Cricetulus griseus: one gene and its partner. The protein of the gene in region 1 interacts with the protein of each later gene in a pairwise test. Links are inferred from orthologs where the notes say so. Each region holds a gene or a part of one and is shown on either strand. Other genes may lie near its edges. The genes, in order: Syt4 and Nbr1.

Region 1 (15,603 bases):
CACGCAGAAAACATGGCTCCTATCACTACCAGCCGCGTGGAATTCGGTGAGCAAGTTGCTGAACTTGGGGCTGTGGCTGGGCTCGGGGCTGTGCTGTGCTTTGCTCGCCACTGGATGTTGAATATGTATATTTTCAAGTAGCTAATTTGAAAGGAAGACGGGAACGGCAGATGGTTAATTGTGGCTTACTTCCTTTTCTCGGTAGCTTTCTCCTTAGCATCGCCTTCTGTGATTTCACCTTCCAGAAGTTCCCGAATGTTCACTCAGCTCTGTAAGCCAGAGCTGAGGAAGGACAAGGACATCTGTTGTTAGAACGCTGCTTCATTTATTTTCTGGATGATTCCTATTTGTGTGTAAATCTTTTAAGGAAAGCCACATACTCTTTTGGTTACATAAGAGTTCCGTATGACATAAAATAACTTGTATGTTGATGATTTGAGATGAGTATTTTATTACACTGTCATAATTTTCTCTGCTAGGTGTTCTTGTATCCCTGAAGTATGTTTCTAATGATAGACAGAATTCTGTGATAGCATAGTTCTGGGGAGTTTGAAATCAAACTGTCTTTGGCCTGTTTCATGTCTCTGGCTGAGCTTTCTGGAGTCCAGTGCTGTACAGTTAAGTAAAAGCTGCTCAAAACTTGGATTAGGATCCTGCTTTCTGAATGGCTTTTCCTGTTCGTATTCCAAAATTTTGTCTCTATGGTCTCCTTGTCTGCTTCAGTAAATAAACTAGATGTGACTTTTAGAAAAGCAATTAACAAGTCTAGGTTCAGTTATATTCTATTGGGAAAAGACCAGGGTTTTTTTTTTTTTTTACCTATAAGTATTTTTTAATTAAAGGATGGAGAAATATTTGAATAGTATCTCTAGATGTATCACAATTATGATTACTCAGAGTGGTATGGCATAATCTCTGCTCTCAAAAGCTACAGTATCAGTAGTTGCATTAGCAGACTCTGAGCCCATGTTTTCTTGGATGTTTTGAATGTTAGAGATAATAAAATATGCATAAATGATTTTATCAGCCTTTCATCGTTGGTTGTATATGTGTGTATGATACACCCAGTTCTTGATTTGAAACCAGAAATTTTCTCATAGTGAGGCATCTTCAGAGACTATCCTTGTGAACATGTGTTCATCCCCAGTTGTCTGTCTACTTAGAAAATATTGATTTCACTGGCTTTTATTGTTCTTCTTGTATTGGCCGAAGCATTTCTTAGTTCCTGAGTTTGCTTTTGCTGCCTTGCCCTGAGTTATTAGATTGTGTGTGTATATGTGGGGCACACAGAGATTTGAATAGAAGGGAAGAAGCTGATACTGTTTAGCTGATTAACTCTTCTTCTTCCTCCTCCTCCTCCTCCTCCTCCTCCACTCCTCCTCCTCCTCCTCCTCCACTCCTCCTCCTCCTCCTCCTCCTCCTCCTCCTCCTCCTCCTCCTCCTCTTCTTCTTCTTCTTCTTCTTCTTCTTCTTCTTCTTCTTCTTCTTCTATAGTATTCACATTTACTTTTTTCTGTTTAGGAGACTCTCATATTTACTTCATTTTTTTTACACTATTCAATTTGGTCACACAATTAAGTTATAGAATTTTTTATTGCTGCTTTATTTTTTAACCTCACATATTTCTGTTACTGTTTTTCCATTTGATTTCTTTTGAGTTCATTTTTATGATTATGAAGTAGATGGACGGAATATTCAGGAGATGAAGAAGAGACATAAAAAAGAATCGTCTTCTTGGTCTTAGACAGTGTTAACCCTTTTGGGGCTTGGACTTTTATGTTTAGTATTCACTATTTGAAATAAAACATGGATAGAATAGAGCTAAATGTGCACAATGTGCTATACTCACTTTATGCAAAGATTTACACAGTGAAGCACTGCTTCACTGTGAGATGTGGCAGCACAGTTACCAAATAAATGTTACAAGAATCTGCTTACACATGAAATGATACATGCTTCATGCACAATCACTGTTGGCATGTCACTTGATGACAATGATTTAATGTGCTTGAAGTTAAGAAAACAATGCCATTATCAATTTTATCTCCTTTTGCCATATAGAAATAGACTAGGGCAGAATTGAACTCTAAACTGTCTATATTCACTTTTCACTCACATTTTGGCAATAATTATGGATTTAATGGCCATTATTCTCTTTTAACTCACATGGAATACTTTGTGCTTTGGATAATTCAGGGCTTGAAGAATTTTAAGTTCAGAATTGCAAAGGGATTATAATGTTATAATTATAAACTATTATCAAACTATTGTTTTTCTTTTACTCTTTTTTCTCCTTATTAATAAATGTTTGCCTCTTTATCAACCCCACAGTTGGAATAAAAGTTTAATGGATTTGTAACAATAACAAATGGCCAGGGTGCTGTTTTTCCCATAATTTTTAGTTGTATAGATTACTGTATTTAAGTGTTTCTTTTTCTTCTTGAATATTGGGTGAATAGAGTTATATTAAGATATCATTTTAATATGAGTTTTATTAGAGATGTATTAAAATAGAATAGAGATATGGTAAACTATACTTTTAATATGAGTTGTAATACAGATGTATAAATGTCCTTTTAGTGAGTTTCTCAATATTTGCTGGTTATTATGTATACAAATGTATATATGTATTCATAATTAGTAGATTGATGCTTTTGGAAAGCTTCAAAATGTTAATGAAAAATAATGAAAATGGTACTTCCTCATATTATTGTAGTTGACTCATGATCAAATAAAACTTTGTTTTATTAAGATAAATAAGTGAGAATATTAAACATGACCCCATGTTTGTTCCAGATACACTTTCATTTATTTATGAAAATCTATGGAAGTAAGGAGTTTTAAATCATATTTCCTGTGTGTCACATAGGTCTATGTGTAACCCTCACGTTAGTGGGAAACATTACGATTACTCACTCCCAGAACTGTGGGGAAGTAATTCAATATTCCTCTCTTACAGCAAGAGCTTTATTATGATCTTCCTGCAGTCTCCCATTTCTATTCTGATGATTTAATGTGTGTCATTGGTCATTTGGTTTTTCAGATGAAATTCCCACAGTTGTGGGGATCGTCAGTGCATTTGGCCTCGTCTTTACCGTCTCTCTCTTTGCTTGGATCTGCTGCCAGAGAAGGTCATCTAAGTCCAACAAGACTCCCCCATACAAGTTTGTGCATGTGCTCAAAGGAGTTGATATCTACCCTGAAAACCTAAGTAGCAAAAAGAAGTTTGGAGGAGATGACAAAAATGAAGCTAAGAATAAACCAGCTGTGCCAAAAATTTCATTGCATCTTGATCTGGAGAAGCGAGACCTCAATGGCAATTTCCCCAAAACCAACCTTAAAGCTGGCAGCCCTTCTGATCTAGAGAATGTGACCCCAAAGCTCTTTACAGAGAGAGAAAAGGAGGCTACTTCCCCTGAGAGCTTGAAGTCCAGTACTTCCCTCACTTCAGAAGAGAAGCAAGAGAAGCTGGGGACACTCTTCTTGTCTCTAGAGTACAACTTTGAGAAGAAAGCATTTGTGGTCAACATCAAGGAAGCCCAGGGCTTACCAGCCATGGATGAGCAATCTATGACCTCTGATCCATACATCAAAATGATGATCTTACCGGAGAAGAAGCATAAAGTGAAAACCAGAGTGCTGAGGAAGACACTGGACCCAGTTTTTGATGAAACCTTTACATTCTACGGAATTCCTTATCCCCACATCCAAGAGTTGTCCTTGCATTTCACAGTTTTGAGTTTTGACAGGTTTTCGAGAGATGATATCATTGGAGAAGTCCTGATCCCTCTTTCAGGGATTGAATTATCAGATGGAAAAATGTTAATGAATAGAGAGATCATCAAGAGAAATGCTAAGGTAATTCTTTAAGCATTTAAAATATTTATAAGGAATCTTTAGTGTAGGTGTAAAAAAATACATGTTGTTTTCATTCAAATGATGAGTTGGTACACATTATCCTTAATTACTGTAGGTGACAGCAAACAGAGAGCAAGAGAACAGAGAAGGCAAATGGGAATTTAATACACAACTGAAATGCTCAAGAATCTTAATGATATAAAGTAAAAGGCCATACTTTATGATATTTATACATCATTTATGTAAAAGGCATTTAAACTTCCTATTAAAGTATCTTGAAAAAGACTGCTACTTTAAAATTCATGGATATGTCTCTTAACATAGGTTATCAAAAGTGTTTCAGGGCCAAAGTAGCAGAATTTAAAAGTGAAGTAAAAAATTAAAGTAATCCCTTCTCAGGATGTGGAGTTTGAATGCAATGTGGAATTTGAATGAAATTGCTTTTGAACAAGGGGAAATCCTGTTATGCCCATTTATGAATGTCCATTTTCCTGCTACATAAAGGAAGTGAATTACCCTGCCTTCCTACTTGTACTACTTGGACAATTCTTGGATGATTAGAAAATGATATGACATCAATTGGGGCCCATTAGGTTCAAAGAGCTCCTTGGTTGCTTTTCACTCTTTGTTGTTCCTTTTGGTAGAGCTGCTTAGTTTTAGGTGGTCTTCCCCAGTTATAGGAATATAGCTATATATTCTTTTTTTGATACATTTTTCTTTAGCTGTTCTTAAATATAAGCCAGCTCCATGTTACTGTTTTGTTAGTTTTAGTTAAAGCTTGCACTTTGCATTCTTAGTTGTTTTAGCTAATGTCTTTAATATAAAATTAAATATAAGTAGCTTGCAGTGAAGGAATCCATGTTACTGTTCAAAAACAAGTTCTAAAACTTGAGCCAATTCTCTCCGATACTTAAATTCAATTATATTCTCCTTAGATTGAGAAAAGACTTTGACTATGTAGGACAAGAATTCTAACTCCATTATGATTCTGGTCCAGAATAGTGGTTGGATGAAGAATACGTTTTCTTTTGCTTGAATTCAAATGTCAATAATGTCAGAATTTAAACTAAGATAAAATATCAGCCATGTGATCCTACACGTATCAATGGACAGTATTATGTATTCTATTACTGTTAATAACTTAAAAGGTTAAAGATATCCTTAAATAGCAGAAGTCAAAGTAAAAAATCTTGGGAATATAGTATAAACATCCTTCAAAACATGTGTAAGTACTGGGTGTGGTCAAATCCTGGCAAATTTTAGCACTATGTAGTACCTAAAACAACCACAAGATGGCAGGCAATGGTTTTAGTCATTATAGGACTGCACAAAAGCGTTTTCTCAGATTCCTTAGCTTGCTTAAATAAAAATAAATAGGAACATGACATTGAAATAACAAAGCTATTATGGTACTGTATGTTTTGTGACAAGAGTACAAAAGCCCCAAACGAAAACTGTGTCTACTGTATTGTCTTTGTTTAGAAGTCTTCCGGACGGGGAGAGCTTCTGGTCTCTCTCTGCTATCAGTCCACTACAAACACGCTCACTGTGGTTGTCTTAAAAGCACGGCACCTACCGAAGTCTGATGTGTCTGGACTTTCAGGTGAGAATGCCTCTGAAACCCCGGAGTTCTGTCTATAACTGGCTACTATGTTTCACAAACATTGTGGACTAACACTGGACTATTGTTCTGACATTCTCAATCATGAGTACTGGGATTGTCGATTTTTGTTTCCTTGCTTTGTGGGAAAAATTTGAGTCAATTCTGCCAACAGTACAGGGAAATTCATATGCCTGTAAGACAGCGTTAGTGAGGAGGGAACATTTAAGTGAATGGCTTAAAGCAGAAAGCAATGACATATGAAGAGGAAAAGACAGAGCTTAACATTGCTCAGAAAGAGAGTTTTGAACTTTCGCGTTTCAAATGACTTACTCATTCACTCTTTGGTGAGCTTATTTGTTTCTTTTAATGACATATATATGCTTTAAGAATTAAATTTTAGTTTTGAATAACTGAAAAATCAAAATGTTTGTTGTAGAATATTAGAAAGAAAATAAGCTAAGTTACAGGTTAAAGACATCTTAATTAAAATTTTCACCCTTCCATTTCTTAGTATAGTATCCTCTTCATATTTCTTAAACATTATAGAAATTGGGCACAGTAATACTTGAAGGGCATTTTGAAAGCTAGAAATACATATTTTAATAAAGAATCATCAAGTGGTATTATCATTATTTGATTGTAGAAATTGAAGACAAGTTCTGAAAACTTGAGATCATGAAGATAAATAACATATATACTGCAATCAAAAATAATATAATATGTGATGAAGTTACATGATTCTAAACCCATTTAGTAAGAATGTCACAGGAGTGATCAACTCTGGTAAACTGAAAGCAAATTCTGCAACTGGCTAACCACCTGCAGAAAAGCTAAAATGCAGGGCATGACCAGTATGGTTTCCAAATCTCTGTTCAACAACAGTGGCAGCCACCAGGAGCCAGACTCCCCAAGAGCATAAAATCAGCAATCCCAGACACTGCCTTCATCTCACTTTCTGGTATTCGTTGCTAGGAGGCAGTATGCAGCACCCCTTTTTCTTCCCCCTTTGTTTAGTCCTTCTGCTATTACGGTTCCTTCCCTAACATCAGATCTGGAACTGGTTTTTAGTCTCCATCATTTTCAATTTTATGATTAACAGAAAGGTCAACCATATCCACACTTCCTATTAATTTATACTTGTTTATGTTGGAAGATACTCACTTCCACCGTACTGAAATGTTGTCTCCTAGGTTGGATCTGTAGCTAACTGTTGACAATTTAACACTTGTGGCATGTCTTTGCAGATCCGTATGTCAAGGTGAACCTGTACCATGCCAAGAAGAGGATCTCTAAAAAGAAGACTCACGTTAAAAAGTGCACTCCCAATGCAGTGTTCAATGAACTGTTTGTCTTTGATATTCCTTGTGAGAGTCTTGAAGAAATAAGCGTTGAGTTTTTAGTTTTGGATTCTGAACGGGGATCCCGAAATGAGGTCATTGGGCGGTTGGTCCTGGGTGCAACAGCAGAAGGAAGCGGTGGGGGACATTGGAAGGAGATCTGTGACTTTCCTAGGAGACAAATTGCTAAGTGGCATATGCTCTGTGATGGGTAGTTTCCCTGCCATGATTTTTATTAGGCAAGAAGCAATTTTCTTTCTTATACATGATTATAAGCTTGTGGCACAGCAAGCTACTTTTATTTATTCATCTGTCTATCTATCTATCTATCTATCTATCTATCTATCTATCTATCTATCTCTATTTATTTGTTTTGGTTAGAAGTGGATTAAATCACTAGACCAGAAAACAGTTGTAAATGTGTATCTTGATAATTTCCTCCTTTATTACAGGTGTTGGCTAAATTTTCATTAGATAATCAGTTCCCCTTTGTGTGGTCTTAAGTGGGCCAACCAAGCCTGTAATGAGCTTTCTAGCTTAATCTCAAGTCACAGGTAGGTGTGTGTTGTAGATGATGATGTCACTTTTGCCTTGGTAGTGGAAGTCCAGGTGATTGTTAAGAGTTCAAAATGAAAACCACACCTTTTTGTAAGAAAATTAACCCATGTCCCTTCATGTTGGGTAGATAAGGTTTTATTTAAATCCAAAGATATTTCAGAAATGTCCTCAAGTCTGTTTTCTAGTTAGATATGTCATGTACAAATGGTTGTCCTATATATCAATGATATGCTGTCATTTCCATTTGGTTTGTAATTATTTGATACAATCTCATCATAAAAGGGGTAGCTTAGGTTCATTTCGCAAAGACAGCAAACACATTGAGAAATTAATTTATTAAAGGGCTGAATTGAAGAACACTGTGGTTGCAATGAGATTTTTTGTTCCCTAGGATCACAAGTGAGTCATGTAAAATGTAACTTCACATAAGAACCATGGTCTTGAATTATTCACTGCCCATTACAAGCCTCAGTGTGGCCTAAGATACTCCTATTTACCTTTGTGAAGCTGTCAGATTATCTAGTGGATAAAAATAAACTTAAGCTAGAAATTCAGCTAAGAATACAGTTTTTTATAAAAATCTCTCAGTGTACAAGTGTATTTTCAAGGCTGTCTTTCCCTCTCAGAGAGGGCATGGCTACCTAAGTCTTTAACTTATTCTTTTCCAGGAAGAACTAAGTTACTTTGAAAGAAAATGTGTTAAATTCTGTGCATTGTCAGGTTGAGATCAACCACGTCAAGTAAAAAGACTAAGACAAGAGAAGAATAATCCTATCAGCATTTACAAATATTCACAAAATATACTTAAGCTGTAAAATTAGCGCAGACATTGTGTTCTGCACTATCTTTGGAGGCCAATTTGTCTTGAGCAGTTATTTTTAAGATAGTTTAAAGAATCATGTCTTGTGCCAGTCCCAATTGCTAAGTTCTGAAATTCTTGCCAAACTTGTTCAAGGCAAGCAGAACTCTAGCATTCTCTGGGAAGGCTTAACTCGATGGTGATGTTTTTCTCTTTGAGCTGTTAGAGAGTCATGCGTGTGACTTAGGTCCAGCTGAATTATTAAATATGCAAGTTAGAGATAATGTCTTCTGGAAATTTTACCCTTTGAGTCAAGTTTTGTGTCAGTGCTTTAGCCATTTCTGAGAATGTGTTTGCTATCACAGTGTTTGTAAATTCAATGGAAATGTATTTCCAAACCACTTGTCTGTGCTTTTTATGACTATGACAAAAGTCAAACTTTCTGTAAGGAAATGTATTTCATTCTGTGTGTACAAAGATTGAAATCAACCTCTTTTATGCTTTTCCCACACTCATTGTCACCCAGTGACAATGTCATCTCCCGTCTCTGTCTACTCAGCAGTCTATGAAAACAACATGGAATGAACTGCAGTCATGTGGAATCTGGGGAGGCCAGAAGGCCTTTGTATGTCTGCACATTTGATGTCATAGGCCATGGAATGTAGGATAGCTTGGAGCTCTAATGTTATGAGACATCATTTCCAAATATCCTACAAAGCGGCAGGAAGTTATGGTGATCCAATTTATAGGATGTTTATTGGAAAAGGGTTTTTTTTTTTTTTTTAAAAAAAACTAGGAAACAAGTCTGACAACAGATACTTTTAAAATCACATTAAATTGTTTGTAAATAGTTTTTAGTTTCACAATTTAAAGTGTTTTGAAGGTGATAAGTTGGTTGCAACTACTTATAACTGGTTTTAAGGGACAAAAGAGAAAAGCAAGAGAAAAGAAAAGCGAGAGAAGAGTTGAAACAGGCAGGGAGTTAAGTGATCCCATCATTTCTGAAAACTGTACTGTTTATAATGTATTACAATATCAATGTGAATATCCAACTCTGCTACAATTCCTGCACTGTATTAAACATGTAAATTAATTTATTGTCTGCTTAGCCAGTCTCACCACCCGGTAGGGAGGTTGCCGTGTCTGAAGAACTGTGTGATTCAGTAGCTGACTTGTTCTGACTTGTTGTAGTGCAGTAGAAGTGATCTGGAGGGAAGCATGGTGTCAGGAAGATGGTGTCTGTTCTTTTGTGCCAGCACTGTATGTTTGTAAGACATGAATAAACCGCTGCTTTTGCCCAAACAACCTCTGTTGTAAGTTTTATCTATTGCTTTCTGAGTTTCTCTTTTTCTGATAGACCACACACATAGGTTAGGGAGCACTGGAGGCCGAGCAACAAGATCTACATGTTTGGAACTATGAATTTTGCCTAATTTTTGACAGTCATCTCAGGCAGATGTGCCTAACCTAAAGTGAAGCCCGGTTCTTAGGGAACATAGGTACTGGACTCAATGGTACATACACAGATAGCTCAAGGTTTCTTTTGGCATTCTTCACTCCTGCCTCCAGCCTATTTCCCTCTCATCAAGGGTGGGGACAGGCAGGAGTTTTGTCAATTGGTTTCACTAGATTCTTCTAGATCTCAGGACACGGTCTTGGTAGCCCAGGTTAATGTTAGACTCACACTCTTCTTGCTTCAGTCTCCTGAGTTCTGTGGTTTCAGAGGTGTACTGCCATAGGCAAAGATACAGTCTTCATATGGACAATTCTTTATTGTTATCTTTGCAGTGAGGGATACTGAATCCACATTCTTATTCATGATAGGCCACTTCATTACCACTGTATATCCCTAGCTCTTTCTGCTAGATTCTTTTTTAAAAATTTGTTTTACATCCTTACTGCATTTTCCTCTCCCTCCTCTCCTCCCATCCCCTCCCCCTCCCTCCCCCTCCCTCCTCTCCATCCCTCATCCACTCTTCCTGTTTCTGTTTAGAAAGGGGAAGGCCTCCCATGGGTATCAAGTTGAAGTAAGACTAAGCACCTCCACTTGTATAAGGCTGGGTGAGGTAATCCAGTATGAGGAATAGATTCCCAATAACCAGCCAAAGCATTAGGGACAGTTTCTGTTCCCATTGTTAGGAGTCCTACAAGTAGACCAAGCTACACAGTTATCACATATATGTAGAGGGCATAGGTTGGTCCCGTGCAGGATCCCTGGCTGTTGGTTCAGTCTCTGTGAGCTCCTATGAGCCAGGTTAGTTGATTCTGTGGGTTTCCGTGTAGTGTCCTTGACCCCTCTGACTTCTATAATCCTTTTTCCCCCTTTCGTCAGCAGGATTCCCTCAGCTTGGCCTAATGTTTAGGTGTGGGTCTCTGCATCTGATTCTATCAGTTACTGGGTGAAGGCTCTCTGATGACAACCGGGGTAGTCACAATCTGATCCCAGGAGATGGCCACTTCAAGCTGCCTCTCCCCTATTGCTGGGCATCATTCTGCTACATTCTGAAAGGAGCCCCTGCTCATTTAGGTTTTTTTTTTTTTCTATTTTTATTTACTTTCCCACATTTTGATGTTTTTTTCTCAACCATTTTGGTTCCCAATATATTTTTACTTGTTTCGTTCTCTTTATCTTATTTCAGGTTTTCTTGACTTATTTTATATAACTTCTTTGTACTATTTTGAATCTTTCCCGAATCCTTATACTACACTATTATTAGAATAGCAAAACAGTACAGATATATTTCATTTTCGAGAAGGAAAGAAAACTTGGGGTAGTGCAACAGTCCCACCGGGTAAATAATAACAGTAAGAGCCTTGAGAATCAGATACCTTTGGCAGTATTGACCCATGTGAAAGTGTGCTATGGTGTTCATATGTGGTACATTGTTCTTGTGAATAGAATGCAGCCATAAAGGACTGACTTTTTTGTTTTTTTCGCATTTGTTTCTTTTTTTTCTTTAAATTAGAAACAATCTTCTTTTACATGCCAATCCCAGTTCCCTCTCCTTCCCCTCCTCCCCTGCCGCCACCGACACCCTTTCCCATCCCCTTTCTGCTCCCCAGGAAGGTTGAGGCCTTCCATGGGGGAATCTTCAAAGTCTGTCATATCATTTGGAGCAGGGCCTAGACCCTCCCAAGTGTGTCTATGCTTAGGGAGTATCTCTCTATGTGGAATGAGATCCAAAGTCCATGCTTATACTAGGGGTAAATGCTGATCCACTACCAGAGGCCCCATAGATTAAACAGACCTCATAATTGACATCTATGTTCAGGGGTCTGGATCAGTCTTATGCTGGTTTTCCAGCTATCAGTCTGGGGTCCATGAGTTACTCATTGTTCATGTCAGCTGTTTATGTGTGTTTCTCCAGCCTGGTCTTGACCCCTTTGCTCATCACTCCTCCCTCTATGCAACTGGGTTCCAGTGTTTAGCTGTGGGTGTCTGCTTCAGCTTCCATCAGCTACTGGATGAAGGCTCATGTTTGTCTTTTTTGTGACTGGGTTACCTCACTCAGGACAGTTTCTTCTAGTGCCATCAATATTCTTGTGAATTCCAAGATTCTGTTTTTTCCGATGAGTACCACATTTTCTTCATCCATTCTTCAGTTGAGGGGCATCTAGGTTGCTTCCGGGTTCTGGCTATTACAAATAATGCTGCTATGAACATCATGGAACAGATGTCATTGTGTGAATGTGCTTCTTTTGGGTATATGCTTAAGAGTGGAATTGCTGGATCTTGTGGTAGACTCCCATTTTCCTGAGGAACCGGCATACAGATTTCCAAAGTGGCTGTATGGGTTGGCACTCCCACCAGCAGTGGAGAGTGTTCCCCTTTCTTCACATCCCCTTCAACATAAACTGTCCTTGGTGTTTTTGATTTTAGCCATTCTGTCAGGAGCAAGATGACATCTCAGAGTTGTTTTAATTTGCATTTCCCTGATGGCTAAGGATGTTGAGCACTTTCTTTTTTCTTTTTTCTTTTTTTTTATTAGTTCAAATTAGGAACAAGTTTGTTTCACATGCCAAACCCTTCTCCCTCTCCCTCGCCTCCCCCCACCTCTTTCCCCCCACCCTCGACCTACCTCCCCACCCTATCTACCCTCTGCTTCCCAGGCAGGGTAGGGTCCTCGACAGGAGCTCCCTAAAGTCCACCACATCATCCTGGGCCAGGCCTAGGCCCTTCCCCATGTGTCCAGGCCAAAAGTGCACCCCTTCACGTGGGATGGGCTCTCAAAGTCCCTTCTTACACCAGGGAAAAATGCTAATCCACTATCGGGGCCCCCTAGAGTGCAGAGCCCTCCTCATTGACATCCATGTTCAGGGGTCTGGATCAGTCCTGTACTGGCCTCCCAGACAGCATCTGGGGTCCATGTGCTCCCCTTGTTCAGGCCAGCTGTTTCTGTGGGTTTCACCAGCCTGGTAACGACCCCTTCAATCTTCATTCCTCCCTCTCTGCAACTAAGTTCCAGAGTTCAGTTCAGTGTATATCTGTGGATGTCTGCCTCTGCTTCCATCAGCCACTGGATGAGGGCTCTAGAATGGCATAAAAATTAGTCATCAATCTCATTTTAGGGGAAGGGCATTTAGGTTGTCCTCTCCACCAATCCTGGATTGTCAGTTCGTGTCATCCTTGTAGGTCTCTGGAAGTCTCCCTAGTGCCAGAGCTGTTCTTGGACCTATAATGACTCCCTCTAATATGGTATCTCTCATCCTGCTCTCCTCTATTCTTCCCCCAACTCAATATTTCTGCTTCTCCATTTCTTCCTCTTCTCCTGCTTTCATTCTGGCTGCTCCCTCTCCCCTACCATCATGCTCCCAATTAGCTCAGGAGTTCCTGCCCCTTCCCATTTCTGGGGTCCATGCGTTTTTCCCTTAGAGTCCTTCTTGTTTCCTAGTTTCTTTGGTGAAGCAATGTGGGAAATTACCAATATGGAGCCACGTAGAAATACAAGGGATTTTAATAGGGAAAAAAGCCTTACTTACTGCCCGTGTGGCAGCAGTCTGTACAGCAAGCCAAAAGCGAAACCGAAAGCCACCCACCACATAAGTGTCCCTCACTCTATGTCCCCTGTACCCAGCTCCTAAGCAGGCGTGACGACAGCATCCCCTACAGTGAAGAGGATTGTAGTCTGGTAATCCTTTGCTCTATGTCTAAAATTCACATATGAGTGAGTACATACCATGTTTGTCTTTTTGTGACTGAGTTACCTCACTTAGGATGGTTTCTTCTAGTTCCATTCATTTGCCTGTGAATTTCAAGATTCCATTGCTTTTTTCTGTTTCGTAGTACTCCATTGTATAAATGTACCACATTTTCTCTATCCATTCTTCAGTTGAGGGGCATCTAGGTTGCTTCCAGGTTCTGGCTATTACAAACAATGCTGCTATGAACATGGTTGAACATATGTCCTTGTTGTATGAATGTGCATTATTTGGGTATATGCCCAAGAGAGGAATTGCTGGATCTTGAGGTAGACTGATTCCCATTGTTCTGAGCAACCACCATACTGATTTTCAGGGTGGTCTTACCAGTTCACACTCCCACCAGCAATGGAGGAGTGTTCCTTTTTCTCCACATCCTCTCCAGTATAGATTGTTATTAGTGTTTTTTGATTTTAGCCATTCTGACAGGTGTGAGATGGTATCTCAGAGTTGTTTTGAGTTGCATTTCTCTGATGGCCAAGGATTTTGAGCACTTTCTTAAGTGTCTTTCAGCCATTTCAGATTCCTCTGTTGAGAATTCTCTATTTAGTTTTGCACCCCACTTTTTAATTTCATTGTTTGGTGTCTTGGTGGCTAGCTTCTTGAGTTCATTGTATATTTTGGTGATCAGCCCTCTGTCAGATGTTGGATTGGTGAAGATCTTTTCCCATTCTGTGGGCTGTCATTTTGCCTTACTGACTGTGTCCTTTGCCTTACAGAAGCTTCTCAGTTTCAGGAGGTCCCATTTATTAATTGCAGACCTCAGTGTCTGTGCTATTGGTGTAATGTTCAGGAAGTGGTCTCCTGTGCCAATTTGTTCAAGGGTAGTTCCCACTTTCTCGTCTAGAAGATTCAGTGTGGCTAGATTCATGGTGAGATCTTTGATCCATTTGCACTCTTGTGCATGGTGACAGATATGGATCTATCTGCAATCTTCTGCATGTCCAAATCCAGTTGTGCCAGCGTCATTTGTGGAAGATGCTATCTTTCTTCCATTGTATAGATTTAGCATCTTTGTCAAAAATAAGGTGTTCATAGGTGTGTGGGTTAATATCAGGGTTTTCAGTTCAATTCCATTGGTCTATATGTCTGTTTTTGTGCCAATACCAATCTGTTTTCAGAACTATGTCTCTATAATAGACCTCGAAGTCAGGGATGGTGATGCTACCAGAAGATCCTTTATTGTACAGCGTTGTTTTGGCTATCCTGGGTTTTTGTTTTTCCATATAAAATTGAGTATTGTTCCTTCAAGGTCTGTGAAGAACTGTGTTGGGATTTTGATGGGGATTGCGTTGACTCTGCAGATTACTGTTGGCAACTTTGCCATTTTTACTATGTTGATTCTATCTATCCAAGAGCATGGAAGATCTTTCTGTTTTCTGGTATCTTCTTTAATTTCTTTCTTTAAAGAGTCAAAGTTCTTACTGTACAGTTCTTTCACTTTTTTGGTTATTGTTACCCCAAGATATTTTATGTTGTTTGTGGATATTGTGAAGGGTGATGTTTCTCTGTTTCTTTCTCATTGCATTTATCATCTGTATAAAGTAGAGCTACTGATTTTTTTGAGTTAATTTTGTATCCTGCTACCTTGCTGAAGGTGTTTATCAGCTGTAAGAGTCCCCTGGTAGAGTTTTTTGGGTCACTTATGTAGACTATCATATCATCTGCAAATAGTGAGAATTTGACTTCTTCCTCTCCAATTTGTATACCTTTGATCTCCTTTTTTTTCCGTCTTATTGCTCTAGCTAGAACTTCAAGTACAATATTGAAGAGATATGGAGAGAGTGGACAGCCTTGTCTTGTTCCTGATTTTAGAGGAAACGCTTCGAGTTTCTCTCCATTTAGTTTGATGTTGGCTTTTGGTTTGGTGTATATTGCTTTTATTATGTTGAGGTATGTTCTGGTTATCCCTGATTTCTTCAAGACCTTTATTATGAAGGGGTGTTGGATTTTTTTCAAAGGCTTTTTCAGCATCTATTGAGATGATCATGTGGTTTTTCTTTTTCAGTTTGTTTATATGGTGATTACATTGATGGATTTTCGTATGTTGAACCATTCTTGCATCCCTGGGATGAAGCATACTTGATCAAAGTGGATGATTTTTCTGATGTGTTCTTGGATTTGATTTGCCAATATTTTTATTATTATTATTATTTTTTCTATTATTATTATTATTATTATTATTATTATTATTATTATTATTATTAATTCAAGTTAGGGAACAGGCTTGTTTCACATGTAATTCCCCT
Region 2 (17,363 bases), on another chromosome or scaffold:
GAAGCCGGTTCCTTCAGCTGATGGAAGCAGAGACAGACATCCACAGATATACACTGAGCTGAAATCGGGAATTTAGTTGAAGAGAGGGAGGAATGAAGAAGGAAGGGGTCTGTACCAGGTTGGAGAAACCCACAGGAACAATTGGCCTGAACAAGGGAGAGCACATCGACCCCAGATGCTGTCGGGGAGGCCAGTACAAGACTGATCCAGACCCCTGAACATGGATGTCAATAAGGAGGCCTCTGCACTCCAGGGAGCCTCTGGTGGTGGATTAGTATTTTTCCCTGGTGCAAGAAGGGACTTTGAGAGCCCATCCCACGTGAAGGGTTACACTCTGGCCCTGGACACATGGGGAAGGGCCCAGGACCAGCACAGGAAGATTTGGTGGACTTTGCAGAGCCCCTGTTGAGGGCCCTACCCTGCCTGGGGAGTGGTGGGTGGATGGGGTGGGGGTAGGCTGGGGGTGGGGGAGGAGGGATGGGGTGAGGGGAGGGAGAGGGAGAAGGGACTTACATGTGAAACAAGCTTGTTCCCTAACTAGAACTAATAAATAAATAAATAAATTAAAAAAAAACAAAACTAAAACCAAAACAAACAAATGGAAAGAAACGCACTTTTTTTTTAAGTCACCAAATGCAAACACTAACACACTAACACTGCTGACGCTTCTCCACCCTCCCCCTTCTGGCACTTAGCCTCAAGGCAGTCTTTGAACAAGTACCCCTGCCGACAGCATTCATTACTACTATTGGCATTCCTTTGCGTGAAATATACATGGATTTCCCTGCCACACTTCCGCCCTCCTTTCCTCTCATCCTTCAGCCACCATGCTTACACTGCCTTCTCGGCACGACCACAGCCAGGACGCCCCTTCTTTCCTCCCTAGCCTTCTTCCGCACAGCTGCACCCCCCAGGAGTCCTTTCAGTTTGGTCCCGCCCCGGGCATTCTCCTACCTGGTAAACACCTGTCTCCGCCTGCAGTTTCCCGCCCTTCACTCGACTACCGCTAGGTTCCTCAGAGCTGTCTCACCTTCACCCCGAGCAAAACGTCCGTGCTCCCCAGCCCCTTGGCCCAAATCCCGGGAAAGCCGCTCGGAAAGCACTAGGTCCCGCCGCGGCACCGGCGCCCGCCGCGCAGCCGCAATGACAATTTATCTGTAATTCCCGCGCTCCCGGTCGCCTAGGAAACCGGCCGCTTGGCGGCTAGCGCCGGCCTCTAGGAACACAAGATCCAGACACGTCAGCGGAAGGGAGAGGAAAAAAAAGAGGTGGACACTCTTTCCGGGCTCAGGATTGGCCACCTGGTCTCTCCTTGTGTGTCGTAACTAGAAAGAGACGGAAGAGAAAGAATTTTGAGTTTCCTATTAGGCAGCCGCCCCCTCGCATCTACGCTTGCTTATTACGTCACAGTAATTGTGTACAAAGGGTCGGGATCGCTACCCAAGGCCGGAAGATGAGCGCAAGGTAGTGAACAAAGCAGTTGCAGAGTCCTCATCCCTCCCTTAGTCTTCCTGCCATGGAAGTCTCCAGTTTAGGTAAAGAAAGGATTATGTAAAAAGAACTACCAATTCCAGCATGCATTGCGGGACGAAAGGACTTCTCCACCGCGTCCCTTGGAAACTGTAGTCTTAAGGGAGAGGCGCTTCCAACACCGGAAGCTGGCGCGATTACCACAACAACCTAGTTAGTACGGCGGAAACCTCCTCGCGGTTATGCAGGTCAGCTGCAGTACATCGCAGCGTTCTGTTTTCATGTCTTGCTCACAGAGACTAGACTGAAAGAAGCTGCAAGTCCCAGGAATACTACAATTCCCATCCAGCCCCGCGATTCTCGGGTAACTAGTTCTCCAAGGTCAGTGACCTCAGGGAAAGCAGAGGGCGGCCAATGGGCTCGGGAACGGGAAATCCGCTCCGCTGACATCTACGCACTAGTTCCGCCCCTCGGCCTGGGTGTTTGTTATTGTTGTGCGGTTCAGACAGCTTCTGTCCCGCCCCTGCCGACGCAGCATTGGCCAATCGGTGCAGCGGTGGTTTTGAGGGACAAATAGTTAGAACCAATCGTTTTGTCGGAAACTCAGAGAAACATGGGACTGGGCCCGGTCTCTGTCCGCCATGTTAGATTCACCCCGCAGGGATAGCAGCCGAGCTGGCAGCGAACGGTCCTTGCACTGGCCACGGGCAAGCGCCCCCCGGGGGCGGAAAGCTGGTAAGGAGGCCGCCGCTGTTACCTACGAGTGGGGTCACGTCGTTCTTAGAGGTCTCGGGGAAGTTCAAGGAGAATCTTGAAAAGAGCAGTGACTTTTTTCCGTGTTCAGGGCAGCCAGTCCTTTCAGGGACCAGATGAGAGAGCCGCTTGGGTTGTCAGCGACAGTGGGGTGTGGATTCTGCTTGAGGGAGAGTCTTCATGGCTTAGAAAGGCCAGTTTCTGCTAAGAGAAAGTCGAAATCCCCCAGTACCAAAAGAGGGGCCTCCGGTGGTGGTGACACTCACTGTCCCGGGGACATGGAGTTCCAGGAAACGATTGCTGGAAGACTAGGACTAAGTGTGTGAGAAGAAGGGACACACATCTTCCTCATTCTGAGCTTTCCTCTTTTTGAGACTCTATTGAAGGTATCTTGATCTAGAACCTTCCGTGTTTAGAGAGGCATCGTTTTCCCTTTTTGTCAAGCACCCAGCTTTCAGATCACCCATTTTAAAGCTTAGGCGGCTTTAAACCTCTGGTAGACACAATAGAGTTCAGATTCCGAGATTCCCTATATTAATATTATTTGTCGACGTTGGAAAAACATCCTATGGGGAAAAGCTGACTTTGTCACATGAGTGTGAGTCAATGAGGCATGCGTTTACAGTGCCACTTAGGAAAGCTGCAGGCTTAGGCCCGGCCACCTGACCGCTGGCTGCAAAACAATAGGTAATATGTGGGGTTAACTGTACCTTTGATATTTTCACAAGTTCAACATTAATGTTCTGCCTGAAAGAATTTTCACACGTAAGTCACAGTGAGGTCCGGCCTTTATGAAGACCTGAATATTGGCTAGATAAACTAGACTCTCGCTTCCTGTTTTCTCACATTGACAGAGCAGCTGGATGAACTCCAAAGTATGGAAACTAATTCCCACTCCTGTCATTTGAGAACAGGGAAGATTAGTTTCCTTCCAGACAGAACTGTGTGGAAGTGTATTTCTTGAAGTTGGAAAGTGCGAGTGTATTTGGGAATTTTTTCTTTTTTAATTATCTTTATTTTGTGTGCATTGGTGTTTGGAACTGGAGTCACAGTTATGAGAAGCCATGTGGATGCTAGGAATTGAACCCGGGTCCTCTGGAAGAGCAGTCAGCGTTCTTAACCACTGAGTCATCTCTCCAGCCCAACCTCAGAATTTTTTCTTTTGGCAAACTCAGTCACTTCATTTTCCTTATTAAAAACAAACAAAAACAAACAAACAAACAAACAAACAAAAACCTAGGGTTGGTGGGATTCTGCCTAAATTTTAAAGATCCTAAGGAAGAATTGCATTTTGGGTAAATGTATGAATGCAGGATGTCCACAGGATTGATGCTAGAGACTATAGCTTTGACAGTGAACTTAACTCTAGATGAAGACAAGTCATGGAAAAAATTGGATAATTGAGTCTCTAAAATAATCTGTGATTAAGAATACTAGGTTCTTGGGTGGCAGTGACACATGCCTTTAATCCCAGCACTTGGGAGTCAGAGGCAGGCAGATCTGTGAGTTTGAGGCCAGCCTGGTGTACAAGAGCTAGTTCCAAGACAGTCTCCAAAGCCACAGAGAAACCCTGTCTTGAAAAACCAAAAAAAAAAAAAAAAAAAAAAGTACAAGGTTCTTAAAATGACAGTTGTACAGTTGTATCCACAGTGCTGAACTCTGGAGGCAGATGCGGACAATTCTCTGGTCTACATACATAGCAATCCCCAGGCCAGCATGGGCTACAGAGTGAAACCCTGTCTCTCTCCACCCAAAACAAAGTTATAATAGCAAGGTAGAAGCTATCTTAAGGACCTAAGGAATTGTTTCTTATGGTAATAATTTTCATATTTGAATACTATTTGAAAGAATCCTACATACTTTGTGGTACTGGAAATGGCCCCTTATCTTTGCACATATGTGGACTGGTTCCTTACTCCCTGTCCCTAGACCAAGGTTTTATTAGATCCCTTTGATAACATTGTTACTGTCAGCAGAATAGTCTTTGTTTTACATATTAAATGAGTGAAGCTCAAAGATAAACAGTCTTGCTCACAGTTGCACAGCCAATCTTGTGGTGGAGCTGTATCTGGGACCCAAGTGTTTGCACCCTATTGGCTCCCTTCTTTGACATTGGAAACATCTAGGACTCAAGTTCATTTCTTGTTTGTTGACCCGAATATGGCTCTTTCTACATGCAGATTGAAAATGAGATGAATATTTTAAGAGGTGACATTTTTTTGCCAGTGTCTATTGCTTGTAGCTTTAAACAACTTACACTATTTTTTTCCTAAAGTCACAGTTAACCAGTAAGCAAAGTCTTTCCTTAAATCAAATAGGTTGTTTTTTTTGGGGTGGGGGTGTTTCAAGACAGGGTTTCTCTGTGTAACAGCCTTGGCTGTCCTGGAACTGGCATTGTACACCAGGCTGGCTTCGAACTCACAGAGATCATGCCTGCCTCTGCCTCCCAAGCACTGGTATTACAGATGTGTGCCACCACTGCCCGGCTAAAATCAAATGGATTTTAACAATAGGCATTTGATTAAAAAATTGCCAGCATCTTAGGCATGATCATGATGGGTTTTTTCATTTTTCTCATTTTATAAGTATTTATGGAAGAAAGGGTGAATATTTTGTCAAGAGAGACATAGAGCAAGGTTGTTGCATGGTGGTAGAGTACCTTCCTAGCTTCCAAGCCCCTTTGTCATCTGCTCAACACACACACACACACACACACACACTCTCTCTCTCTCTCCCTCTCTCCCTCTCTCTCTTACACTAGAAAGGAAGGAATACTGACTAACAAAATTAGCTCCTAGTTGCTAATTGTGGAAGCTGATAGGTCCATGAGGACTCCTTGTGTTACATTCTTTAATTTTGTATAGCTTTTTCCACAAGTAATAGAAGTTTGTTGTTGTTGTTGTTTGGGGTTTGGGTTTTGGGGGGCATTGGTGTTTTTGTTTGTTTGCTTGCTTGTTTTCTGTAGACAAGTGCTCATTGTAGCCCAGACTGTTCTTGAACTGACTACCTAAAACTGCTTCTGTTGCTGCTCCCAGAGTGCAGACACCTTGTCTCTGTTCTCTATCTTGTTGGCTTGTGCTACAGATAACAACCAAACACTGGAAAATGCAGAGAAAACCTTATAGACTTAAGGTAGGGGAGTGTCTGTAGATATGTCCAAAATGTGGATTGTTTGTTTTCAAGACAGGGTTTCTCTGTGGCTTTAGAGTCTGTTCTGGAACTAGCTCTTGTAGACTAGGCTGGCCTTGAACTCACACAGATCTGCCTGCCTCTGCCTCCCGAGTGCTGAGATTAAAGGCATGCGCCATCAACACCCAGCACAAATGTGGATTTTTATTACATTTTTATCATGAGACTTTTATCTTCCCTCCCTGCTCTACACCTCTTTTAAAGACAGGGTTTCCTTGTTTTCTAGACTGGCCTAGACTCTTGGACTCCAACTACCATCCTGCTTCAACTTCTTGAGTAACTGAGACTACAGGTGTGTGACAATGTGCATTTTTTTTCTTTCTTTCTTTCCTTTTTTTTTTTTAATCTTATTTTATGTGCATTGGTGCTTTGCCATGAGTGTAGGGTCCCCTAGTAGAATTACAAACAGTTGTGAGCTGCCATGCGGGTGCTGGAAATTGAACCCAAGTCCTTTGGAAGAGCATTCTTAACCATTGAGCTCTTAACCACTGAGCCATCTCTCCAGCCCTTGACTTTTATTTCTAATGTGTAAGTTCTAAATAAGTTTAACTCTGTAGCATAAGCACACATCTTTATGGCATAGTGTCTTTATTTCTGAGAAAGAGAAATCCTTATGTAACAGTGAGATTTGATGTATAACACACTAATAGATAGTAAATCATGTAACAATAGGGACATTGTTTCTCTTATTCACTATGATCTCCCAAATCTAACATATATTAAACCTAATGTGTGTCTGTGGGTTTTTAATCCCTTCCTCTTTTTTCAACCATTCATTTTCTCAGCCCCACATCACAGCATGGAACCACAGGTTACCCTAAACGTGACTTTTAAAAATGAAACTCAAAGCTTTCTGGTTTCGGATCCAGAAAATACAACTTGGGCTGATGTTGAAGCTATGGTGAGTATCACTTTGTTCTGTTTTCCAGGGGTTAAAACACAGTCTTTTAAAATGTACCTATTTTTAGCAGTTCATTTCATAACTGTTAAGTTTGTCATCATTACCATTTCTGGATATTTTGAAAAATAGTTTTTGACAAGGGTTCAGTATTTGTATAAGACTTGTACCAAGATAAAGAGAAGAAACAGCTTTGTTCCTTTAAACATTTTAAAATTACAGGGGAAATTTCAGGAGTTGGTTCTCTCTTTCTACTGTATAAGTCCCAGGTATCAAACTCAAGTAAAATTATTAAGTGAAATAGAATTTAGAAACATACTTTAGAAATAGTCTGAGGGATAAGTTAGTGTGTCCTCCACCCTAGCCAGGCTGTAGGGGAATGTTGTCTGGCTGGAGAGTAGATGCATCGCTGCTGTTTGTTAACTGCCAAGGATAGGACTAGTATTTTGCAAGACCTGCCAGTTGCTTTATTGCTGGGTCAAAGGTTGGCTATCTCAACATTGGCAAAAAGCACAACAAAACCCCATGGGTGTTTTTGCTCATAGTTTCTCTCATTTGGCTTGCCCTTTGTACTTTTCTGCTTTCATTGGTTTGCCTTGGTCAATGTTTTACTATTTGGGCACCTGTGTTTAATGTAACCATTTGGTTACAAACATGTCTTGACCTGATTATCTGTGTGGGTAGCTTAAAAAGGAAGGAGATGTTAGAGGGACCTTCCAGTGTGTTACATTCTAGTCCCCTGCATTCCCCAGATTCCGCTCTATCCTTTGCTAGGCAGATGGTTATTGGGAAAGCAGTGGGATCTTTGAAAGTGATCTGAACACCAGTTACCTTTCTTTCCCTAGTAGCGGGGTGTGTTGACAGCTTACGTTTGTCTTTTATTGTAAAAGTTTAAGTTATAAAAGTGTAATACACGCCCATTATAAGGCATGAAACAATCTTAACATGTAAGGAGATAATGTCTGTCCACAAACTTCTATCCTGTATCTGCTATCCATACCTCCTTTAGATAACGGGAGGTAACTGAGTACTTCCCCACATTTCCATGTTCCATGTTCATGCAGGTATCGTGCTAGGGTCATAGGAAACACTGTTCTGCAGGTTGTTTTTCTTGCCCAACAGTATATTGTAGCCATAGTTTTTAATCGGCAGACACAAAGCAAAGCTCATCTTCTTACCCTATGAGTCCACTGTGTTGCTAGTGTTGCTGAACACTGTGGATGTAACTGTTACTGGTTGCCCCACCAGGGTTTTCTTTGTTTGCACATTATAAAATAGACAGGACCTGCATCTCTCTATATGGATAACTTATGTATTGTTCTATAGGTACTTTTATGTGAGTTCAGGTTGTCAGGCTTTTGTATATTGTATACAACAAATACTTTACTGTGTAAGCCATATCATTAACCCTGACTTTTAAGGGTTTTGGGGGGTTTTGTTTTGGTTTTTTTTGTTGTTGTTGTTGTTGTCACAGTGACAATGCTCTTTTATTTAAAATACTACTTAAGAAGCATAAGTCAATGTAAAAATGTAACAGTTGTTTATTAGAATGGGATTTGACCTAAAATCCATTTCATAGATAGAGATCATGGCTAAGGTGTTTTCAGAGGTACCTTGAATGCTCATTGAAGAGAAAAGTAGAAATAAATCCTACAGTTAATAAAATGTTCCAGTGATCACTAATCCTGTGTCACTTTTTTTTCTTTTAATTAGAAAGAAAATTATTTTACATGTCAATCCCAGGTCCCTTTCCCTCCCCTTTGTTTTGTTTTGTTTTGTTTTGTTTGTTTCTCTGTGGCTTTGGAGGCTGTCCTGGAACTAGCTCTTGTAGACCAGGCTGGTCTCAAACTCACAGAGATCCACTTGCCTCTGCCTCCTGACTTTAAGTTTTGATAGATAATGCCTAGGGAGATGGCCAGGTGTTTAAGAGTACTGGCTGCTCTTCCAGAGGACCCAGTCTAGCAGCCAGATGGCAGCTCACAACTATCTCTAACTGCAGTTCTAGAACATCCGATGCCCTCTCCTGGCCTCTGCAGGCACCAGGCACACACCTGGTACCCAGATTTACACGAAGGCAAAACACCCATGTGCATAAAATAAAATTAAAAACATTAGTGGGCTGGGCAGTTGTGGGACACACCTTTAATCCCAGCACTCAGTTAGACAGAAGCAGATGGATCTATGTGAATTCAAGCCAGGCTGGTTTACATAGCGAGTTTCAAGACAGCCAGAGTTGTTACATAGAGAAATCCTGTCTGGAAAAAGAAAAGTTAGGGAATATTATTTTCAGGTGTGTGACTTTTGTTTATGCTACATTTGTTTAACTCTGTGAATCTGTGAGTCTTTGTCTAAAACACCTGATGGTTTAATAAAGAGCTGAATGGCCAATAGCAAGGCAGGAGCAAGGATAGGCGGGACTGGGCTCAGAGAGTATAAATAGAAGGAAACACAAAGAAGTAGCCAGAGAAGGAGGAGGACTCTGGGAGCCAGTCTCCCAGCTACACAGCAAGCTTAGGATAAGAAACAAAGACAGGTATACAAGAATTGAAAAGGAAAAGCCCAAAGGCAAAAGGTAGATGGGATAATTTAAGAAAAGCTGGCAAGAAACAAGCCAAGCTAAGACTGGGCTTTCATAACTAAGAATAGGCCTCCATGTGTAATTTATTTGGGAGCTGGGTGGTGGGCCCCTCAAAAAGCCGAAAAACTAAAAAAGCATCACACACACACACACACACACACACACACCAACAAAAAAATTTTAATGGATAACTGCCAAATATTTTACAGAATTATGACAGTACACAGAAAAAAAATGATTGGATGCCTTGAGTTTTGCTTTGTATGTAGTGCTGGGGATCAAACATGGGGCCTTCTACATGCTAGACAAGCACTCTGCCACTTAGCTATGTCCCTTGCCCTGAATGTTTTGACATAAGAAAAAGTTTACCATCTGAACCTGCTGGCTTGTCTATTTACACTGTGTAGCAGTGAAGTTGAATGTTTTTATGTATTGGGCATTCCTGTTTCCTCTTCTGTAAATTTTCTGCACATTGTCACTTGTATTAATCTTTTTTTGGTCTTGTTTTTAAGTTTCTCTGTGTATCTCTGGCTGTTCTGGAACTATGTAGACCAATCTGGCTTCAAAGACACAGAAATCTGCTTGGCTCTGTCTCCCAAGTGTTGGGAGTAGAAACTTAAAGATGTGTCCTACCACTGGACTATTGGAGTATCAATCTTCCTGTCAGTTTTGATGATCTTTTCTGTGTTTGCAGTTATTACTCCCTTATCTGTTACCACTTGCAGATATTTTCTCTGTCTGTTTTCTTTGAGTTTGTAGTAGTTGTTTCTTTATTTACTCTTTATGTACATTGGTGTTTTGCCTGCGTGTGTGTCTGTGTGAGGGAGTTACATACAGTTGTAAGCTGCCATGTAGGTGCTGGGAATTGAACCCAGGTCCTCTGGAAGAGCAGCCAGTGCTCTTAACTGCTAACCACAACCTCTGAGTTGCTTTTTAAAACTGTATTAAGATATTTTGCTGAGCTAGGCGTTGGTGGCACACACCTTTGATCCCAGCACTCGGGAGGCAGAGGCAGGCGGATCTCTTGAGTTTTGAGGCCAGCCTGGTCTACAGAGTGAGTTCCAAAACAGCCTCCAAAACAATATAGAGAAACGCTGTCTCAAAAAACAGGTGTTTTGGGGCTGGAGAGATGGCTCAGAGGTTAAGAGCTCTGACTGCTCTTCCAGAGGTCCTGAGTTCAATTCCCAGCAACCACATGGTGGCTCACAACCATCCATTATGAGATCTGGTGCCCTCTTCTGGTATGCAGATATACATGGAAGCAGAATGTTGTATACATAATAAATAAATAAAATCTTAAAAAAAAAAACAGATGTTTTGCTGGGAATGTACTTCTCATGCATTCACAAAGCCCTGCATTGAAACCCTAGCATCACAAAAAATAAAAATAAGGGGCCAGGGAGTGGACTCCAAGGGTTAAGCCCTTGCCATGTAGATATGAGCACCAGCTCTTGGTTTCCCAGCACCTATATAAATGTCAGGTGGGTGTTATGCCCTGTCTGTAACATGGTACTTAAGCCAGCCTACATAGCATATCCTGGAAGCAGAAGCAAATTGTTTAACTAGGCTAGCCTAATTGGTGAGCTCTGGGTTCAAGAAATTCTGCCTCACTCTGAGTTGCGTGGGCTGATACCTGCAGGCTGTAAGAGCTGTAAGGGCTACATAGTCTTGGAAAGATCCACACTAAACCACCCCCTGCCCAAAAAGGGAAAAAAAGAGGGGGGGACTAAAAAAGAACAAAGTTAAAATATTTAATTTTATATACTGAGATACACTGATCCATTTGTTTCATTTGCAGGTAAAAGTTTCATTTGATCTGAATACTATTCAAATAAAATACCTGGATGAGGAAAATGAGGAGGTAAAGTAACTGTGTGCCCCCTTCTAAATATTTAGAATAGGGATCTTTTCCAGAGTGATAGAGTTTCAAAAGTTCAGAATATAAAGTCCATTGTAATGGCTCACACCTGTATTTCCAGTACTTGGGAGACTGAAGCTTGAGGATCCTAGGAAGCTTAAGGCCAACCTGGGCTTTAGAACATTAGATTGTCTTAGAGAGCCATAAAGGAAAGAGGTTCAGAATAATGTTATCTCATTCGCCTAATGGTTTAAATATACTTGATAATCCTGTACTTCATTCATGACCATTATGGCATCTGAGATGGAGCTGAGACATGGGAAAGCAACATGGAGAATATCAGAGAGAGAAGCTAAAACTGTAACAAGGCTATCATTTAGTTTATGATGGTTATGCTAATAGGAGCTCTTTGCTAAGTGGTTAATGCATCAGACTAGCAGTGCTGTATCGGGTATCTTCTTTTCATCATGAGGAAGCAAGAGGCCCTGAGAGATGAGAGATCTTACCCAAAGACTTAAAAGTAATGAAGTAGGGGCTTCAGATCCCAGGCTCCTAGCCCTACACTGTCCTGCCTGTTACTGTCCCTAAGATAAAACAGCACATTATTTAAATAGTAGTGGAAATGCTAAACACCTGAGCTGGGACTTGGCCATGAGACTGGCCCTAGTTAACATAAATGCTCAGGTGATGAGACTTAGCATTCACCATTTCCTTTTTCTCTTCATAGGTATCCATCAATAGTCAAGGTGAGTTCCTGAGAAAAATATAGTCAGCTATACTTCACATTTGCCTGACATGGTAAAATCTGTCTGCACGTCCAGTACTGAGGAGGCTGAGGCAGGAGGATTTCAGGTTTAAGGGCAATCTGGGCTACATAGTGAATAAAATTTATCTGCTCATTGAGGTGTTTCCATTTCAACTATGTTTTGCTCAAGCATTCATTTTTAGAATAGAATTTGGTGTGCTGTAAATTGACACTGTACCATGGGCATTAGTTTCATAGATTTTTCTTTTTTTCTTTTTTTTCTTTTTGAGGCAGTCTCAGGAGGTAGCCCTGGCTGGCTTCAAACTCGGTGTGTAGCCTAGGATGACCTTAAACATAAGATTGTCGGGGCTGGAGAGAGGGCTCAGTGGTTAAGAGTGCTGGCTGTTCTTCCAGAGGACCTGGGTTGTATTCCTAGCACCCACGTGGCGGCTCACGACTGACTATAACTCCTGTTCCAAGGAGTCCAACACCCATAAACAAAAAACATGCCGGCAAAACACCAGTGTACATAAAAATAGAAATAAAAATTATCTAAAAAGAAAACATACAATTCTCCTGCATCTACCTCCTGAATATTGAGATTACAGTTTATGCCTCTACCCCCACTTTATGCAGTACTAGGAATCGAATTCAGGGCTTGGTGCAGGCTAGGCAAGCACTCAACCAGTTCAACTACATACCCAGCCTCATAAGGGATTTTTATTGTGTAACTTAAAAAAAAAATAGAAGATAATACATTTGCATGGACCATAAGGACGGGTGTTATCCAACTTTATATTTTAAGATGCTAATCCTCTGAAAATAATATACATCTTGTTCACCACATATAATTCATTCTGCTAGCGTTGCATTTGTTCTGACCTGGCACATACGTGAATTTCAATGCATAAGCAAACTATGTTCCCATGTTCATCAGATGGTTGGTTATGGTCCATAGTTTAGTCCCTAAAGCCTTATTTGAATCAGGTAGCATGATAGTCTTAACACAGTCTGGAACCCCACTGAATCTTGTACTTCATAAAGCCTGGTTAGAGGAGCTGGGTTGATTCTTGTATTGAGAAGGCTAGAGCAGCACAGAGGGACTAAGAGGAACTTGCTTTGTAATAGCTTCTGTGTGCAGTGGGTAAATTGTTACTTTCACTTTTCCTGGAGAGACATAAATCAATGTCCAGCCCTACCAGGTAGGCACCAATAACAGATCAAAACACAATCTCACCAAAGTCCAGCTTGGTGAAACCAGTGAGTTTGTTGGGCCTTCTTGTAGAGCAGAATTATGTATAGGAGTGTGGGCAACCCCCACCCTCCCAACCCCCCACCCAACAACAACTACATCACTTCTAAGTCCCACCCCTTCATATTTTGCAATCTCACTGCATCGTGGAGTCCTGTTTTTAGCCATCCTTTCACTTTTCTAAATAGGCTGGCATCTCTCAAGACCATTTACAGCTGGGGAAAGGAGTTGGAATCTCAGGCAAGGGTCTCTGGACACCTTCGTAGAGTACCAATAGCTCCATTGCAAGAGTTCTGGCTGCCACTGTATTGTGCTCTGGTTGTCATAACTATGTGGGGAGAGACCAAGAATGTTACAACCAGAGGGAAAAGCACCGTACAACAATAAGGGAGTTTGTCTAGCAAAAAGGTAGTGACTATCCATATGTAAGAATTATAAGAATTTGAGTAGGATTGGGTTTACTTTTTAAAAATAAACTATTTTTTCCCAGCACTCCGGAGGCAGAGGCAGGCGGATCTCTGTGAGTTCGAGACCAGCCTGGTCTACAAGAGCTAGTTCCAGGACAGCCTCCAAAGCCACAGAGAAACCCTGTCTCGAAAAACCAAAAAAACAAATAAATAAATAAATAAATAAATAAATAAATAAATAAACTATATTTTTAAGATGTATAACATTGATATGAAATACATATCAATAGCTTTAAAAACATGTTAGTTCAATGAAAGAAATTAAAAAGTGTCATCTCACAGTTGCTACCCCCACACCCTGCCTGCCACTTCAGGGTTGAGAGTAGCTGAAATCTATAGCAAAATTCTTAAATACAGTACATTATTGTTAACTGTATTCTTCATGTTGTAGAACTAAAGTACTAGCTAAGTGTTATGTTGCCCTTCTGTAATCACAACACACAAAGGATTGTTTAAAGCCAAAGCCAAGCAGTGGTGACGCACGCCTTTAATCCCAGCACTCAGGAGGCAGAGGCAGGCAGATCTTTGTGAGTTCAAGGCCAGCCTGGTCTACGGAGCTAGTTCCAGGACAGCCTCCAAAGCCACAGAGAAATCCTGCCTCGAACTCCTCCCCCCCCCAAAAAAAAAAAAGTTTGAATCCAGCCTGGGCTACATAGCTGGGTCCCCACTCCCCACCCTCACCCCCCCCAAAAAAAAAAAACAAAAAACTGTAGAATTGATAATAGGCAATGGAATCTTTAGGACTGGTAAAAATAAGTCACTATTGTTTTTCTTTCTTTTTTTTTTTTGGTCCTTTTAGAAGAATATGAAGAAGCACTTAAGGTAATGTTTACTTCATTTTATTTTCAAGTAATTTTAAAAATATTTATCGAACCCTAATCTCCACTGGAAAGTCATCTGTTTTGTTAGGGAGACTGCTGTGGAAGTGGTCATGTGACTCAGCAGCAGGCAGTTCCTAATAGAGTTCAAGTTGTTGTCCTCTCATTGCTGGTCTTGGTGCCACCATCTCACCATTTCAAAAGAAGCCCTGGGTGTGGAGCTATACCTCTAATGCCAGCACTCGGGAGGCCAAGGCACCTGCACCATTGAGTTCAAAGACCACTAAGGCTATTCAGTGAGTTTGAGGCCAGCCTTGGCTATGTGGTAAAACTGTGTCTCAGAAACAAAAAGAAATGGCAGGAGGCTTGTTTGAGCCTAGTTTAGGGATAAGTTGAGCAACAGAAGAAACCAAAATATTGCTGTGCACAGATCTAACTCAGGACCTCGTGCATGCTAGGGAAGTGTTCTATATCGCATCCTAATTAGGACAATGAACTTAATGAGCTAGTTCATCCATCAGTTGACATAGTTACACATGGAGTGTTATTTTAAATGGAATCTTAAGTCTATTGTATAGGAAAACAGCTATGAAAGGGGGGTGGGGCTAGAAACCTAGCCATTTGATCCCTAATTTTTCTTAAACACTTAAGTTCCCTCATCGAAGCCAAACTACTTCTTGACAGAATTTCCAAAATATATTATTAGGAAGATGCTCTTCACAAAGATACAACTACTTAAGCTTGCTTTGTAAAATACGAGGTTAGTGAAAAGTAAATGCTTAGCTATCAGGAATAGCTTTAAGTTTCCGTGATTAGTGTTAGTCTGGAATTGATTTTTGTTTTTTAGAAAGTTGAGATTAGAGTTAATATAGAACAACCAGTTAAAAGCCGGGCATGGTAGTACGCACCTGTAATTGTGGTACCTAGGAGGTAAAGCAGGAGGACTTTGAGCTGGAGGCCAGGAGGGCAACCCCAGACAGACCCCCATCTCCAAAACAGACAAACCAAAAAAATGAAAGGAGAACCTAGTTAATGGAAAAATCGAACCTAGAAATTTCCTCAGCAAGGCATTGGTGGCTCATGGCATTAATCCCAGGCAGAGGCAGGTGGGTCTCTCTGAGTTCGAGGCCAGCCTGGTCTACGGATAGAATTCCAGGACAACCTCCAAAGCAATACAGAGAAACCCTGTCTCTCGAAAAAAGAAAAGAAAGAAATTTCCTCAAACCTTAACACAATAAAGCTATTTATAGTTAATATTCTTGACAGCAGGCTAGATGATAACATGGAGGTTGACACTATCCAAAGTTCTTGGAACTTGATGTGTGTCTATTTTAATTTTTTTTTTTTTTTACTTTTGGATATTTGTACATTCATAATGAGATATCTTAGGAATGGGTCCTAAGACTAAATTTGAAATTTGTCTCATTCTTTACATAGTCTGAAGGTAATTTTCTATAGTAGTCTTAGTATAGAATATTTTGATTACTGCTAATCATAAAATGCCAGGTGCTAATTTTCCATTTGTGGCATCATGTCATTACCTCAAAAGTTTAGGTGCTTGACCTGTTCTTTTAGAAATGCAAACAAGGGTCTAGAGAGATGCAGAGGTCAAGAGCACTGACTGCTCTCCCAGAGGTCCTCAGTTCAATTCCCAGCAGCCAAATGGTGGCTCACAACCATCCTTAATGAGATCTGGTGCCCTCTTATGGTGTGTAGTCATACATGCAGACATAATGCTGTATATATAATAAATACATTTTAAAAAAGAAATGCAGCTGGGCGTTGGTGGCTCATGCCTTTAATCCCAGCACTTGGGATTAAATAAATAAATAAATAAGAAATGCAAACAAAAGTCATAGCATATTTTACTATGCTTCTATATGTCCATGCTTTGACATTTCATTTGGAAAAAGAGAATCACGGTGTATTTTTTATTTTTTAACATGCTCTTGTAACATGTTTCCAGATGGCTAACATTAAGCAAGGAAACCAACTACAGATGCAAGTCCATGAAGGGTGCCATGTGGTAGATGAAACATTCCCCCCAACTGTAGTAGAAAAACAAGTGGCTGCCAGGACAGGGAAGAAGCCTCTTGCACATTCTTCACTGGTGAGAGTCCTAGGATCAGATATGAAGACCACAGAGGAGCCTGCAGCACAGGTATGAAGAGCATGGCCCTATCTGTCCAACTCAGCCTTACATCTCATTGTCCCTATACCATTTGGACAGTCATCAAAGATTTGGGCCAGGAGGCTGGGGAGGTAGCACAAGAACCTGAGTTTGATCCCCAGAATCTATGTTGTTTGTTTGTTTGTTTGTTTAAAACCTTTTTTAAAGGGAGTTGGAAAGATGACTTATTAGGTAAAGAGGTGGTGTGCAGGCATGAATACATGAATTCAAATCTCCCAAATTTACATAAAGCCAGGCATAGCGTTATGTCCGTAACCCTGATGCATCTGTAATCCAGTGCTCCTATGGCAAGATGGAAGGCAGAGACAAGAGGATCTCTAAAAGCGCACAGGCCAGCTAGCTTGGCATGTGCAGTGGTGACCAAAAAAAGAGAGACCCTCTCTCACAAAGTGGAAGTGCCTGTATTCACATTGAAGAGCCAGGTGTGGTACATATGTGTGATATCAGCACCAAAGAGGCAGACACAGGAAGATCCTTTATGGTTTACAGGTCGGCCAACCTAGTTGGCTGTTTCTAAGCCAGTGAGTGACTGCCTTAAAAAGAAAACCGGGGGGTGGGGGGTAGGGGGGTGGGAGTGAACAGTGCCTGAGGAATAACACCCAAGGTTGTCCTCCAGCCCCCACATGCATGTACACTGCATACACACGCACACAAGAGATCGGGTCCTATGTCAGTCATCTGGATCTGAACCTTTGAAACTGGCAACCCTGGCTTACTTCTAGAGAAAGAGAAGAAAGTAGAAAACACTTTCCAACTGTAACCTTTTTTTTTTTTTTTTTTTTAAGATTTATTTATTGCCAGGCATTGGTGGCACTCGCCTTTAATCCCAGCACTCGGGAGGCAGAGGCAGGCGGATCTCTGTGAGTTCGAGGCCAGCCTGGTCTCCAGAGTGATTGCCAGTATAGGCTCCAAAGCTACACAGAGAAACCCTGTCTCGAAAAACCAAAAAACAAAAAAAGATTTATTTATGTGCTGGGAGGTGGTGGTACACACCTTTAATCCCAGCACTTGGGAGGCAGATGCAGGCAGATCTCTTGTGAGTTCAAGACCAGCCTACAAGAGTACAGGCTCCAAAGCTACACAGAGAAACCCTGTCTCGAAATAGTATGTATGTATGTATGTATGTATGTATGTATGTATGTAT

What was found.
Region 2: the proteins of Syt4 (region 1) and Nbr1 interact in binary tests that used the Homo sapiens proteins (3 or more experiments, as listed by UniProt). The two-hybrid records come from large-scale screens. The link is inferred for Cricetulus griseus from reciprocal best matches to the Homo sapiens genes SYT4 and NBR1.

The regions. Positions count from the first base shown.
Region 1 is NC_048595.1:205,847,726-205,863,328, forward strand, and holds Syt4 (synaptotagmin-4), read left to right. Parts: upstream 1-12; coding exon 13-46; intron 47-3,043; coding exon 3,044-3,858; intron 3,859-5,340; coding exon 5,341-5,461; intron 5,462-6,705; coding exon 6,706-7,013; downstream 7,014-15,603. UniProt on the Homo sapiens protein: Synaptotagmin family member which does not bind Ca(2+). Involved in neuronal dense core vesicles (DCVs) mobility through its interaction with KIF1A.
Region 2 is NC_048600.1:114,592,301-114,609,663, forward strand, and holds the start of Nbr1 (next to BRCA1 gene 1 protein), read left to right. Parts: upstream 1-1,447; 5' UTR 1,448-1,851; intron 1,852-2,053; exon of another isoform or gene 2,054-2,205; intron 2,206-5,638; 5' UTR 5,639-5,704; intron 5,705-6,197; 5' UTR 6,198-6,211; coding exon 6,212-6,313; intron 6,314-10,686; coding exon 10,687-10,749; intron 10,750-11,473; coding exon 11,474-11,492; intron 11,493-14,009; coding exon 14,010-14,032; intron 14,033-15,994; coding exon 15,995-16,189; intron 16,190-17,363. UniProt on the Homo sapiens protein: Ubiquitin-binding autophagy adapter that participates in different processes including host defense or intracellular homeostasis.